2 linked regions of the Xenopus tropicalis genome follow. The protein of the gene in region 1 interacts with the protein of each later gene in a biochemical or structural test. Links are inferred from orthologs where the notes say so. Each region holds a gene or a part of one and is shown on either strand. Other genes may lie near its edges.

What was found. The genes of interacting proteins can lie anywhere in the genome.
Region 2: the proteins of dnm1 (region 1) and itsn1 form a complex in vitro, tested with the Homo sapiens proteins (2 studies listed by BioGRID and IntAct, with this or other methods). The link is inferred for Xenopus tropicalis from reciprocal best matches to the Homo sapiens genes DNM1 and ITSN1.

What each region holds. Positions count from the first base shown.
Region 1 is NC_030684.2:22,788,588-22,796,998, reverse strand, and holds the start of dnm1 (dynamin-1), read left to right. Parts: upstream 1-2,858; 5' UTR 2,859-3,032; coding exon 3,033-3,193; intron 3,194-8,411. UniProt on the Homo sapiens protein: Catalyzes the hydrolysis of GTP and utilizes this energy to mediate vesicle scission and participates in many forms of endocytosis, such as clathrin-mediated endocytosis or synaptic vesicle endocytosis as well as rapid endocytosis (RE).
Region 2 is NC_030678.2:14,210,523-14,218,257, reverse strand, and holds part of itsn1 (intersectin-1), read right to left. Parts: intron 7,674-7,735; coding exon 7,552-7,673; intron 3,207-7,551; coding exon 3,100-3,206; intron 2,887-3,099; coding exon 2,703-2,886; intron 1,549-2,702; coding exon 1,450-1,548; intron 1,217-1,449; coding exon 1,049-1,216; intron 1-1,048. UniProt on the Homo sapiens protein: Adapter protein that provides a link between the endocytic membrane traffic and the actin assembly machinery. Acts as a guanine nucleotide exchange factor (GEF) for CDC42, and thereby stimulates actin nucleation mediated by WASL and the ARP2/3 complex.

The DNA.
Region 1 (8,411 bases):
TCTCCTACCATCTGCTGCTCTGCACGGCGACCATATGTTATGACAAGGACTCAGCCCTTTCATAGCACCTCAGAAAACAGGAGAATAAGAACAGATTTCCCCAGCAGGTCACTCTGGTGCTCCCCCTACTGCCATATTACACCATGGCAAATGGCACCTCCCCCAGATGTATACATGCAAATATACAGAGGAATGTTCTGGGCACACAATAAGCTGTACACTCATACTGTACGGTCTAAGGAAAAGAATATGGCACCTCCCTCCCATATGTATAAATACAAATATACAGAGAAGGAATGTTCTGGGCACACAATAAGCTGTACCCTCATACTGTACTGTCTAAGGGAAACAATATGGCACCTTCCTCTCGTATGTATAAATACAAATATACAGAGAAGGAATGTTCTGGGTACACAATAAGCTGTACCCTCATACTATACTGTCTAAGGAAAAGAATATGGCACCTCCCTCCCATATGTATAAATACAAATATACAGAGAAGGAATGTTCTGGGCACACAATCAGCTGTACCCTCATACTGTTCTGTCTAAGGGAAAGAATATGGTACCTCCCTCACATATGTATAAATACAAATATACAGAGAAGGAATGTTCTGGGCACACAATAAGCTATACCCTCATGCTCTACTGTCTAAGGGAAACAATATGTATAAATACAAATATGCAGAGAGATGGCAGTGAATGTCACACAGCTGATGGTGTGGGTGGATTTAGTTAAATTTCATCTGTTAGATTTCTTTGTGTTGGTTACTTAAGAGTTAGAATATAATTTTCTCCTTCCTTATAATAAAAAGTGCAGCATGGGACCTTTTAACCTTTTATCCAGAATGCTTGGGACCTGGGTTTTTTTTGGATAAGGCATCTTTCTGTAATTTGGATCACCATAAATTTAGCCTCCTATACAATAATTTTTAGTTTGACGTAGAGAATGCTATTCTAATAAAAATTGTAATTGTTTTTATTATTTGCGATTTTTGACAACTATCTGGTTGCTATGGTCCAATTTGACCTAGCAACCAGGCAGTGATTTGAAAGAGAGACAGGAATATGAATAGATGAGGACCTAAATAAAAAGATAAGTAATAAAAAGGAACAATAACAATACAACTGTAGCCTCACAGAGCAATAGTTTTTTGGCTTCTGGGGTCAGTGACCCTCATTTGAAAGCTGGAATGAGTCAGAAGAAGCTAATAATTAAAAAAAAACTATACAAAATAAAAAATGAAGACCAATTAAAAAGTTGCTAAGAAGAGGCCATTCTATAGCATACTAAAAGTTAACCTGACCACCCAGTAGGATTGTTTTGCCACCAATTCATGATCTCTTTCTCAGGATAAAGTACAAGGGAGTCTATGAACGATGACCTTCCCATAATAGTTTTTGGATATTGGGTTTCCAGATCAGAGATCCCATACCTGTACCTACCTAACAGTAGGATAAAGGCAATGACAGGTACATTGTGTAGGTAATAACCCTATAGAACAGGGGTAGGGAACCTATGGCTCGAGAGCCAGATGTGGCTCTTTTGATGGCTGCATCTGGCTCGCTGCCAACTCTTTAATAAAATAAATAACGGGGGTGTGGCCTGCGCTCGGCGGATAGAAGATATGTTCTAAGCCTTAGAACACATCTTTTATCCACCGAGCGCAGGCCACACCCTCCTCCGCATCCGGCATCCTTGGGACACACCCTACCTTGCCCCGCAGCATCCGCGGCCAAACATATTGTATGGCTCTCGTGGAATTACATTTTAAAATATGTGGTGTTTATGGCTCTCTCAGCCAAAAAGGTTCCCAACCCCTGCTATAGAATGACTCCATTGTAAGAATGGAGGGGGAGAATAGTACATATGCTGCAATCTCAGCTTCAGCCAGCAGGTGGCACTAGCAGGCCAGTTCAATAAAAGCTGTCTCAGAGCAGGCATGTAAATTTATACATCACATATTTGCCATGCATGGCAGATGGGTATTATATCTGTGCCTGTATATAGTACATAACATTTATATATGATGCTGAATCAACACTCCCAGTGAAATCCCAGGAACAGAGCACTCACTTCTGGGAAGGCAAATCCTGTCCTTGTTCGGATCAGATGCTGAAACATTTTTACAACAGTATGGAGAGGAAGGGGGTCATTTACTTCTTCAAGCGTGCCTAAAAATTTGATTACTGGTGGCACAAAAGCTGTTAAAGGGTTACATAAACTCATGTGCAGAAGGAGTGTAGCAATCAGTGAGTGCTGGCTTATACTTCCTGCCTTGATTTGGAGTGTTTTTGATGAGTCCTGGTATAATTAGGGTTGCCACCTTGTTGCTATTTTACCAGTCTGGCTGGTAAAAATTATGCTTGATCCCCATGTTATTAATGGAGAAACTAAATACATAGAAAATATATTTTACCACAAAAGGTGGCAACCCTAAGTGTAAGAAGGCCCCTATATTGAATTTCAGGGTTAGTAATAGGGCTCCCCCTAACCCGGCTTTTTATACAATATCTGTTCCTTTCTACATCATCTGGGGCTAAAGCTTTCTTCCAGTTCCTGGTGTACCAAGAAAGGCATATTTGCACATGAGCCACCTTTGTTGACAGCATTGCTGCAAGTGACAATCTGTCACTACACAATCCACATTACACTTTGCTGCACCCTTAGCGCATACTCTTTAGCATGACGCTCCCTCTAGTGGCGGAAGAAGCAAAATGCAGTTAAAATCCCACCCCCTCATCATCCTGTCAGTGCTGCCTTAGCGCACACTCCTTAGCATTAGGCTCCCTCTTGTGGCAGCAGTTGCACATTGCCGTTTAAATCCCTAAGGAGCAGCGTATGCGCTTGAGTTGGCAGTCTGGGGAAGGCGCAGAGCGCACATCCAGGAGGAGGAGAAGCAGGAGAACGTCGATCTTAGGGGGTCCTACACATCTGTCCCCGCTGCCTTTCTCTGTCACTGGGGAAAAGGTGTAAGAAGCATATTAGATCGACGTTCCCAGGCTGAGGCAGACACAAGGCAGCCTTCCATCATGGGCAACCGAGGAATGGAGGAGCTGATTCCTCTGGTTAACCGGCTTCAAGATGCCTTTTCATCCATAGGACAAAATGCCAACCTGGACCTGCCACAGATCGCTGTGGTTGGGGGTCAGAGCGCTGGAAAGAGCTCGGTTCTGGAGAATTTCGTTGGCAAGTAAGTAAGGAAGATGATGGCTCACCTACCCGCATTATAATAACCTAAGGAGATGAGGAGGGGGGCAGTATAATATGTTTATTAGCAGATATCATTCAATGGCGACTGGGCTTTATTTGGCATTTTATTATCGCGATCTGTTGCCTAGAACGTTTTATCGCGATCTGGTCGAATAGAATAACGATGAATAATGGATATGTGTGCAATCTGAGACCCAAGGGTAGGATTCACCTTGTCCAACAGGCACAGCACAGAGAGGGGTCATCAGATATGGCATTGTCCTTGTACAGAACAGGCATTCCATGGCATCGCCCAGCAGGGCATCCTGGGGGTCCCTGACTGTATATTATTAGCGGGGTACCTAGGATGCATGGATATAAACATGCTTTATAGGGGCGAATGGAGAGGAATGGAGAAATAAAGATGGGGGAGGTGTTATAGGATACAGTGTGTCTCTTCTGCAATGAAGGAAGGGGGAGGGGGGGGAATTATAGGACCAATGTTATCAGTCTGCTTATACAGGGGGTAAATATGCCTTGATATAAAGTCCATATACAGCCCATTGCTGTACAGAGCAGAACTAGGCAAATACATGATACAAAGATGAGGGATGAATTGAATGAAGCCTTTGCGTTAAGGGCACCTTTAACTGGCACTGCAGTATTATTTGTTTTTGGGCTAAGACATAGGACGTCTGTCTTTTGGGGCTTAAGGCACCTTTCTTTTTTAGACCAAGCAGTTGCCCCCCCCCCCCTTCCTACTTAATATAAGTATCCTATTTAAAATAAATAAAGCGCCCTCTATATCAATTCTAATGTGACGGCATTTTGTTTACATTGACAAATACATTGGGACTCCTTCCAGCCTGCAGAGACATATGGAAGCTATCTATCATCTATCTATCTATCTATATATCTATCTATCTATCTATCTATCTATCTATCATCTATCTATCTATCTATCATCTATCTATCTATCTATCTATCTATCTTTATATACACACACACACATGGAGTAATGGCTCAATGGATCTGCCAGGCTGACGCTGCAATCATTATGTGTATTGCTTGGTTGTGATGGGATATCCCTGGTTGGTGCATTAGGCAGTGATGGTGCAGTTGGACTGGCGTTAATCAGTTGCAGGGAGTGCTGGCTCCTCAAGGTGACACTGGGAGTAGTAGGCACCGTCCCTATGTATTTGACTGAAGGGGTCAGATGGAATTGGATACTGACATGGGAAAAAGGTGCAGGGATTCTGCACTGAATAAATATTTTGTCTCTGTTAAACAGGATGTGCCCCAGAGCTTTAAACCTGAGCAGGAACAAGGCTATGCTGTACAATTATCATATTACATAGCCTTAAAGGGGAACTACAGCCAAATACAATGTCTTTATCTAATTAATGAAAAAGTAATTCTATGCAACTTTTCACTGTCAGTGGTTTGAAAGTTATATGTAAATGCAATAGCCTGTGAAAAGAAGGAAAAGGGTTGCTCGTTGGGGGGGGGGTTAATTTGTTAGGTGTCCCCAGTGAATGTATTGGGTAACCTCAGACCCTGGGCCAGTACTTCTCATTGCTGAAAAATGCCCGGCCTGTTGAGTACAGTTGAGCTGCCATCTTCTGTCTTGCCCCAGGGATCCATTGTGGCAGCCCTGAGCAGTCACAACCAGCAGTGCAGAGAATATAAACAGCCACATCCACAACAGAAGGTTTTGGGTTAGAGATTCCAAAAAAGGTCTTGGGTTGGAAATGTCCCTTTAATTAGTAATGGCAAATCAGATGCTGGGTGATTAGCCAATAGCTATGTGTTGCGCTTAATTACTCTGCTACCTGCTTTACACTAGCAAAGCCTCCAAATGAACTGTAGGGTTAAATGAGATTACAGGCTGTGAGCGCAGTCTCTGGAGAGAGCTGGAAGCAATAAGGGATACCAGCTGCTCCTGTAACCAGCAGGAGATTTGTGCTTTACCCTGGCTGTATAATCTCTATGTGCTAAGGACGTGGGGGGTTATTTTTTTTTGGGGGGGGGGGGTGTAATAGGCAAATATATATTTTATTTGATCTAAATAAAATAAGTATCTTTTTTTGATTAAATGTTCCTGGTGTGCATCAGCATTTTTTACATATTTACATTGTTTATCTGATTTGCACCCAGGTTGTAATCCCTATAAGTGTGTGCCTCAGCCTTTTTCTATATATATATATATATATATATATATATATATATATATATATATATATATATATATATATATATATATATATATATATACTGAGATATCTAATTAGGGAGGTCAATATAAGGGCCAAACAGTTGTAGGAAAAGGCTGGGGGCATAGTGGGTAAAGAGGAGGAAGGCAGCAACCTTTGGGGGAGGCAGATGGGCCACTGACTGATACAAAATGAATAAAGTTTTCTTATATAAAGTTCCCAAGGGGGCAGTAACTTCTAGGGATGCAGCTGATGGATATAGTAAGAGAAGACATGATGGCAAAAAGACCTTTCAGTCTGTATCCCCTCAGCCGCTGTTGGCATTACAGCTATATGCAGACCAAGGCTTTCTGGGGGGTAAGATTCTGGGATTTGTAGTTGGACAGTAGCTGAAGGCCTATAAGCTAGAACCGAGCAGTATGTGCTTTGCCAGCCTTGTATTCATATGTATAGACAATGCACAGCACTTTGTATGTTCAGCCATTATGATAGCGTATATTGGTGGTAGCAAAGTGTAACTAGTGGGTGCTAATTTGTTAGACATTCACTGTGAATATTGTCACTTGGATCTCAAACTGTTACCCCTCTCCCCTGAAAAAAAGCACCAGCACAGGGTAGATTTCCTTTTTGTATCTATGTATTTTAGCAGAGTTATTCTGCAGGAAGAATGGCTTACTTCCATGTGGGTGTAGCACCCCCACACCTGTCCCTTTAATGGTGGTCTTATGCCTTTAAAAAAATGGGTGTTGGATAATGGGCAGTCTTCTCCTTTACAAGCTGCAAGCCTGTAGGACCAAACTGTGGTCCTGGCAATCTCTCCCTATAAAAGCTGAAGGCATGGGAGTGACTACGCCCTCTGACTCAAACCAGCCCCCAGGTCAAGAATGGCAGTCTTTGAAAAATATGACCAGAGGTAAATAAATGGACCACCATAAATAAATAAATGGACCACCATACTGGGTTTACCTTAACGTGGTATGGTGGCTTACCAATCTTATGATCATAACTTTGTAACTAAAACCCCCTGTTTTTTGTAAATACATGCACTAGCATAGACAATTTAATTATGAAACAGGGGACCAGGGAATGTGCATTGATCAATCCCCCTCTCTTTTTGTATGCTTGTAGATTTCCTCTAAGCACTGCACTGTCACGGCAGGGTCCATGGAACTCTTGTGGCTGCCCAGGGCCATTTACATGCATAGTATAGTAAAATCAGCAATGTCATGGGTCAGGGCCCCAATACTAAGAGCATGGTTGCTTCCATGTTGTACCAAGAACACCCAACCCCTCTAGACCATCATTTGTGTTTCTTGCAGGCATCTGCTTGTCAATAACATGCATGTTCTATCCCTTTAATTACGTGTTTCATGGTAGCACTGACAGATTTACCCTTTGTGTCCATTACTGTGACCCTCATTTACTAACAAAAGTGCATAGTGCCCCCCCCCCCCCCCCCCCCCCCCCCACAGTTCAATAACCCATATTAACTAATCAGGATCAGTATTGTGCAGTTTATATGTTGCTGCAGTGTAAATGAAACCTGGTGCCTGGTAGAAATAACCAGTTTGGCATATGATTGCCATAGAAACAAGTAACATGATGCAGATACGCTAATGACATCCCAGTGGAGGTTCAATATGGGGGACCTTACCGTCTCCAGCAATGACCTCTGTACCCATCTATGTCTAATATTGGTCCCTCCACAGATTTTAGAATATATAAAGGGTGCAGGATGCATATTTACAGCCAAACCCCACATTTAACTTCCTGCGTTCCCATAGATTCCATTGGGTGCTTTTCATCTTCTTTTCCCTCATTTTGCACCAATATTTTGTACGAGTTTTCTGTAATGATACCAGTTAGATAACAAAGCTGTTTTTTCCTAGAAATACAGAATTCTGGGTTATTTGCATCTATTATGGCTACCTGTAAATCATGTATTTAGACAGGCTGGACACGTGACGTACAAGAAGTCATGCAAAGGCTGTGACAATAGTGTTAGCACATCAGAGACAAACTGCTTTCTATCTACAAAGGAAAGTACAGGCAATGACAGGGGAAAATTATTTTTGAGCTCATTAACTTTAAATACTGGAAGCTTTTGTTGCTTTGACACATTTCCATAAATATACATTTTCCCATATTTGGCTATAACTGGAGTTTTACTGTATGCAAGAAATATATTATGTTATTGGAGTTTACAATCTAAGGTCCCTATCACAGTCACACACTGGGGCAGTTTTATCAGGAGCCAATTAACTTGCCTGTATGTTATTGGGTGGTGGGGGAAACCTACGCTGACATATTGGTTTAAAGCTGCCCGTACATGGACTGATAAAACCTGCTGAGTTAGCAGCTTACCATCATAACTGGCCAGATTTCTATCAGATATAGATAGATATATATGGCCAACTTACCTGGGTCTGTGTAAGGGGGCCATCAGCTAGAACAATTGTATAGTAGAGATGTCAAGTATTTTCCTACCTGAACAAAACTAAACCTTCTAACCAATGCCTATCTGGTCAATGTGATCAGTTAAGGACTCCATGGTATATTAAATGGGCTTCTTACATTGGCCTGTCCACTCTCAATGGGCCACCATGGATAAAAAACATATCTCTTTAGTAAACTGTGCAATTTGCCCATCTATGTGTGTTCCGGCTTTGGGCTATAGATCAATGTGCAGATACATACTGCATTCAGAGGAGGGTGAAGGACACCTTTAATGTACAGGGTGAATCATTCACCAGAACACAAGGTCCATGATGGATTGGCCTGGGATTTACATCAGGAAGCAGATATAGAGGATCCTCTAGGGACACAGCCTTTCAGTTCTTATCCCCTGTGTCCAGAAGGCAGAGGTCGAAGGTCAAGGCACAGATAGGGAAATAAGGTTGCAGGGGGTTGGACTGCTGAGATTTATACACACAGAAAATACTTCTATATCCTACTGGCCTACACAACATCACACATACTTTTACTCAAATAGCCATCCAGATAGAT
Region 2 (7,735 bases), on another chromosome or scaffold:
AGATGCTGAATGTGCAGGAATCCTTACTACTTTGCCTTTATACCTGCAACCTGGTGGGTCTCACTGGGCAATGAGTGGGTCACACTCCCAGGATTCCCTGCTGCCTTAGTACTTCAGCCAATCCCAATGTTATCAGCTCAAGGCCCCCAGTCTGGCACACAGGAAATACCTCACTTTGTGGCATACCAAGACACAGAGTCCTATAGCTAATTACTGTACAGAGCTGATATGGGCCCATTAGCTGGGTACTGTACAGAGCTGATATGGGCCCATTAGCTGAGTACTGTACAGAGCTGATATGGGCCCATTAGCTGAGTACTGTACAGAGCTGATATGGGCCCATTAGCTGGGTACTGTACAGAGCTGATATGGGCCCATTAGCTGAGTACTGTACAGAGCACTGATATGGGCCCATTAGCTGGGTACTGTACAGAGCTGATATGGGCCCATTAGCTGAGTACTGTACAGAGCACTGATATGGGCCCATTAGCTGGGTACTGTACAGAGCTGATATGGGCCCATTAGCTGGGTACTGTACAGAGCTGATATGGGCCCATTAGCTGGGTACTGTACAGAGCTGATATGGGCCCATTAGCTGAGTACTGTACAGAGCTGATATGGGCCCATTAGCTGAGTACTGTACAGAGCTGATATGGGCCCATTAGCTGGGTACTGTACAGAGCTGATATGGGCCCATTAGCTGGGTACTGTACAGAGCTGATATGGGCCCATTAGCTGGGTACTGTACAGAGCTGATATGGGCCCATTAGCTGAGTACTGTACAGAGCTGATATGGGCCCATTAGCTGGGTACTGTACAGAGCTGATATGGGCCCATTAGCTGAGTACTGTACAGAGCTGATATGGGCCCATTAGCTGAGTACTGTACAGAGATGATATGGGCCCATTAGCTGAGTACTGTACAGAGCTGATATGGGCCCATTAGCTGAGTACTGTACAGAGCTGATATGGGCCCATTAGCTGAGTACTGTACAGAGCACCTGGGCCCGTTAGGCTCCCTACCCGGCCGGCTGGACTACAGGACGTACCTCAGACAAACCCTCACACTGAACGTGCGCCTGAATCCACTCCAGTCGGTCTGAGTTTTCCTTCTCCCGAACCCCCTCATTCACTTGGGAACATAATTCTTCGGCTTTCTCTAGGGCTTGCTTCAGGTGGCTGTGGTCAGGGTGATTTTCTGGAGTATTTTCAATAATCTGCAAAACAGAAAATTAATACATATCATAAGTACAGATTATTAATCAAGGCTTCAGCCCATTATCAGTAATGAGTTGCGCTGGTGCTTATAATGCTAATGTGCTGCCGTACAGAAGGTACAGTTGGGGGGTACAGCGGGGGGCACAGCGGGGGGCACTTACACATACAGATCTGATGTTACAGATAGAAGCTAAAGTTTGGGGCACATTTAGAAAAACAAAAGGTTCCATACATTTTTAATGATGAGCGGGTATCTGGTTACTCTCTGCATGGGTTTGAGTAGGAAGCTGGACAGCGGCATTCCCTTACACCGGGGATCCATTGCAAGCCTCTGAAATGACAAGATTAAATGCATTTATATGTAACAGTCAAAAACATTTGTACAAAGGGGCAATATCCCTGCAGCGACCTCTACAGCCTAAAACATTGGTTTCTGGGTGTCTATGGTTGATGCCCTGTTTTGAGGCCCAACATTTGCTCTGGGGTTTCTCCCAACAAGGTTCCCAACATGACACCAGTGATCACACAGGAGTCCAAGGACTCAGTTAGTGGTTGTTATTTTACAAATTTATCCATGGGTGTGGGGAAGGGGGGGCTCTCTAATTTGTTCCCAGGACTTTAGGGTAGGTCTGAGATTTCCAGTTCATAGATATGGTCTGCTTTGCATACAGGCACAGTATAGATAATAGAGTCTGATGTGCCCTTTTGGGGCAAAATGTCTTTCATCTGGTACCATGGGGTCTATTGGTAAGGATAGATCTGTCTTAATATTGATCCGGTCTAGTAACTGAATTTATGGGCAAGACGATTCCATGTGTATAAATTCCGCTGAGGAGCATTAACATTGTGGACATTCTGGACTTAGTTCTGTGTTCATTCTGCATCACACTGGGTTTATAGAAGTATAAGAAAGCTAATAGGCATTCCCCCCAAAACTCATCTACCTGCCCTCAGGCCAGGCCCGGACTGGAAATCTGTAGGTTCAGGCAAATGCCAGAGGGGCTGCTGTAAGATTCCATAGACACTCACTATTTATTGAGCCGGGGGGGGGGGGGTGTGGTTTGTGCCTCTGTGTACTGGGAATGCCAGGGCCTATTTGGAATCCCAGTCCAGACCTGCTTCAGGCAGGGCCCACCGATTCCAAACTGGGGGTCCAGCTGAAGAGTTTGGAACCAATGCTCTAAACACACAATGTGCCCATTTAGTAGGAAGTCTTTGAGGCAGGGAGGCCGGGGAGAATGAAAGGCCGGGGGATGCAAGAAACTGTAGGAGATAAAAGATGAAGGGGTGAGAAGAGAGGCAGGAAGGGCAGGTAGGATCGGTGCAGGGGAGAAGCCAATACAGGGATAAAGAGATTTCCCCTGGTAAATAAAACATCCTGTGACTTTCTGTGCCAGGGAATGGCAACCCTCTGCATTTAGGCTTGGAAGCACAATAATACCCGCCGCCTGTGTGGTTATTAGGGGGGGCACATGAATCACTTACTTTCACAAACTCCTTGAACTCGGGCACCTCGTCCGTTTTCTGCTGAATGAGAGCGGCGCCGTTGAGCTGGCAGCTGCAGAAGCGAATGTACGGCTGCATGTGGGGCAACTGGGCCGTCAGGATGTCCCCGATCATCTTCACCGGCATCTTCTCCCCAGACATTTTCTTGCGAACTCGCAAGGCCCTGGGAGTGACAGAAACAAACTCTAATTATTACCCGTTTTAGCCATATTGTGCCAGTCTGGGCACCAGTCAGACCAATGTTACAATGTGTAACAACTGCTAATATCATGACAACTAGAAAAAAAACCATATTAAATGTAAATGGTAAAAATGCTTAGATCATCCAATCAAAGTACAAAGCAATATTCTAGGCTAAGTGCCCAGAGGATCTTACTTGAGCAGTTTGATATTGCACATTATCAGCTCCTTCCAGTTGACAAAAATCATGGCAACTTCCTTCTCCGTCAGTAATTCAGATTCCAGCAGAGGCTTTTGGAATGTCTGTGTTGTACAGGGGGAAACAGGGTGCACTGATAATTGGCGGCGATAAAAACCAGTTAATTGGTACTAGTACCTGTGATAATATAGCACAAAGTCACGCCAGTATGGCTAGCTGTTAGTTATAGGGTTAGTTTACCTTTAAATTGACTTTTAGCCTGACATGGACATTAATGTTCTGAGACAATTTGCAACTGGTTTTCATTTTTTATGGTTTTTCAGTTATTTAGCTTTTTGTCCGGCAGCTCTCCAGCTTGTAATTTCAGCAACTATCTGGTTGCTAGGGTCTTGATTACCTTAGCAACCAAGCAGTGGTATAAATGAAAAACTGAATTATGAACAGAAGAATACAAATTAAAAGTAACAATAATAATAATAATAATAACACTGTAAGCTCACAGAACAATTGTTTGGTTTTGGCTGCGGTTGTGGAAAGATGTAGAAAAGGAACAGAAATAATGCAAAAACTATAAAAAATAAAAAATGAAGACCAACTGCAAAGTTGCTAGGAACAGAATATTCTATAACATACTAAAAGTTAAACAATCCGTTTAAAAAAGAAGCAGCTGCCTATAAGAACTCATTCTGGACTGAGTGTTTAATTAGCTTAGGTAAAAATCCATAGAAATGCAGGTACAGGTATTGGAATCCTTATCCAGATCCCATTATCCAGAAAGTTCCGAATTACACAAGACCATCTTCCATAGTCTTCACATTTTTAAAAATGATTCCTTTTTCTCTGTAATAATAAAACAGTACCTGTACTTGATCCCAACTAAGATATAATTACCCCTTATTGGGGCAGAACAGCCCTATTGGGTTTATTTAATGGTTAAATGATTCCCTTTTCTCTGTAATAATAAAACAGTACCTGTACTTGATCCCAACTAAGATATAATTACCCCTTATTGGGGCAGAACAGCCCTATTGGGTTTATTTAATGGTTAAATGATTCCCTATTCTCTGTAATAATAAAACAGTACCTGTACTTGATCCCAACTAAGATATAATTACCCCTAATTGGGGGCAGAACAGCCCTATTGGGTTTATTTAATGGTTAAATGATTCCCTTTTCTCTGTAATAATAAAACAGTACCTGTACTTGATCCCAACTAAGATATAATTACCCCTTATTGGGGCAGAACAGCCCTATTGGGTTTATTTCATGGTTAAATGATTCCCTTTTCTCTGTAATAATAAAACAGTACCTGTACTTGATCCCAACTAAGATATAATTACCCCTAATTGGGGGCAGAACAGCCATATTGGGTTTATTTCATGTTTAAATTATTTTTTTTTTTAGCAGTCTTAAGGTAAGAGATCTGAATTATGGAGAGATCCCTTATCTGGAAAACCCCAGGTCCCAAGCATAACAGGTCCCATACCTGTACTAAGAAACAATTGCATTAATGACTAAAATGTGAGCCAATCATAGCCTTACATAGAACTATATGGTGTCAGTTGCCCAATAACAGAATACTGATAGAAATCCCTGTGTCTTTGCAAATTTATTGACAAATGGTGGCTCCAGGATGGATGGGTTGGAAAGAAATCCCGTATCCAGTAACTGGGAGTATGGCGGTTGTACGGACGCTCAAGTAGGGAGTCAGGAAGCAGCCTTGCCTGTAGGGAATGAGCAGCCTTGCCTGTAGGGAATGAGCAGCCTTGCCTGTAGGGAATGAGCAGCCTTGCCTGTAGGGAATGAGCAGCCTTGCCTGTAGGGAATGAGCAGCCTTGCCTGTAGGGAATGAGCAGCCTTGCCTGTAGGGAATGAGCAGCCTTGCCTGTAGGGAATGAGCAGCCTTGCCTGTAGGGAATGAGCAGCCTTGCCTGTAGGGAATGAGCAGCCTTGCCTGTAGGGAATGAGCAGCCTTGCCTGTAGGGAATGTGCAGCCTTGCCTGTAGGGAATGAGCAGCCTTGCCTGTAGGGAATGTGCAGCCTTGCCTGTAGGGAATGTGCAGCCTTGCCTGTAGGGAATGAGCAGCCTTGCCTTTAGGGAATGAGCAGCCTTGCCTGTAGGGAATGAGCAGCCTTGCCTGTAGGGAATGAGCAGCCTTGCCTGTAGGGAATGTGCAGCCTTGCCTGTAGGGAATGAGCAGCCTTGCCTTTAGGGAATGAGCAGCCTTGCCTGTAGGGAATGAGCAGCCTTGCCTGTAGGGAATGAGCAGCCTTGCCTGTAGGGAATGAGCAGCCTTGCCTGTAGGGAATGAGCAGCCTTGCCTGTAGGGAATGAGCAGCCTTGCCTGTAGGGAATGAGCAGCCTTGCCTGTAGGGAATGAGCAGCCTTGCCTGTAGGGAATGAGCAGCCTTGCCTGTAGGGAATGAGCAGCCTTGCCTGTAGGGAATGAGCAGCCTTGCCTGTAGGGAATGAGCAGCCTTGCCTGTAGGGAATGTGCAGCCTTGCCTGTTGGGAATGTGCAGCCTTGCCTGTAGGGAATGAGCAGCCTTGCCTGTAGGGAATGAGCAGCCTTGCCTGTAGGGAATGAGCAGCCTTGCCTGTAGGGAATGAGCAGCCTTGCCTTTAGGGAATGAGCAGCCTTGCCTGTAGGGAATGAGCAGCCTTGCCTGTAGGGAATGAGCAGCCTTGCCTGTAGGGAATGTGCAGCCTTGCCTGTTGGGAATGTGCAGCCTTGCCTGTAGGGAATGAGCAGCCTTGCCTGTAGGGAATGAGCAGCCTTGCCTGTAGGGAATGTGCAGCCTTGCCTGTTGGGAATGTGCAGCCTTGCCTGTAGGGAATGAGCAGCCTTGCCTTTAGGGAATGTGCAGCCTTGCCTGTAGGGAATGAGCAGCCTTGCCTGTAGGGAATGTGCAGCCTTGCCTGTAGGGAATGAGCAGCCTTGCCTGTAGGGAATGAGCAGCCTTGCCTGTAGGGAATGAGCAGCCTTGCCTGTAGGGAATGAGCAGCCTTGCCTGCAGGGAATGAGCAGCCTTGCCTGTAGGGAATGAGCAGCCTTGCCTGTAGGGAATGTGCAGCCTTGCCTGTAGGGAATGAGCAGCCTTGCCTTTAGGGAATGTGCAGCCTTGCCTTTAGGGAATGTGCAGCCTTGCCTGTAGGGAATGAGCAGCCTTGCCTGTAGGGAATGTGCAGCCTTGCCTGTAGGGAATGAGCAGCCTTGCCTGTAGGGAATGAGCAGCCTTGCCTGTAGGGAATGAGCAGCCTTGCCTGTAGGGAATGAGCAGCCTTGCCTTTAGGGAATGTGCAGCCTTGCCTGTAGGGAATGTGCAGCCTTGCCTGTAGGGAATGAGCAGCCTTGCCTGTAGGGAATGTGCAGCCTTGCCTGTAGGGAATGAGCAGCCTTGCCTGTAGGGAATGTGCAGCCTTGCCTGTAGGGAATGTGCAGCCTTGCCTGTAGGGAATGTGCAGCCTTGCCTGTAGGGAATGTGCAGCCTTGCCTGTAGGGAATGTGCAGCCTTGCCTGTAGGGAATGTGCAGCCTTGCCTTTAGGGAATGTGCAGCCTTGCCTGTAGGGAATGAGCAGCCTTGCCTGTAGGGAATGAGCAGCCTTGCCTGTAGGGAATGAGCAGCCTTGCCTGTAGGGAATGTGCAGCCTTGCCTTTAGGGAATGTGCAGCCTTGCCTGTAGGGAATGAGCAGCCTTGCCTGTAGGGAATGAGCAGCCTTGCCTGTAGGGAATGTGCAGCCTTGCCTGTAGGGAATGTGCAGCCTTGCCTGTAGGGAATGTGCAGCCTTGCCTGTAGGGAATGTGCAGCCTTGCCTGTAGGGAATGTGCAGCCTTGCCTTTAGGGAATGTGCAGCCTTGCCTGTAGGGAATGAGCAGCCTTGCCTGTAGGGAATGAGCAGCCTTGCCTGTAGGGAATGTGCAGCCTTGCCTTTAGGGAATGTGCAGCCTTGCCTGTAGGGAATGAGCAGCCTTGCCTGTAGGGAATGAGCAGCCTTGCCTGTAGGGAATGAGCAGCCTTGCCTGTAGGGAATGTGCAGCCTTGCCTTTAGGGAATGTGCAGCCTTGCCTGTAGGGAATGAGCAGCCTTGCCTGTAGGGAATGTGCAGCCTTGCCTTTAGGGAATGTGCAGCCTTGCCTGTAGGGAATGAGCAGCCTTGCCTGTAGGGAATGAGCAGCCTTGCCTGTAGGGAATGAGCAGCCTTGCCTGTAGGGAATGAGCAGCCTTGCCTGTAGGGAATGTGCAGCCTTGCCTTTAGGGAATGTGCAGCCTTGCCTGTAGGGAATGAGCAGCCTTGCCTGTAGGGAATGAGCAGCCTTGCCTGTAGGGAATGAGCAGCCTTGCCTGTAGGGAATGAGCAGCCTTGCCTGTAGGGAATGAGCAGCCTTGCCTGTAGGGAATGAGCAGCCTTGCCTGTAGGGAATGAGCAGCCCGCGGCTAAACGTACCTCGGTGACTAACTGTAAGTCATTGACATAGTTCTCCTCGGTGACAATGAGCTCGTGGATGTACCCTTGCCTCTTCCTCTCGGTGGGACTCAGCATGTCCAGGAGATGTAGGTCTGCACACCCTGCCAACGACAAGACATCCCATTGCAGATACAGGTCCCACTTTCAGAAGACACAAGTACGG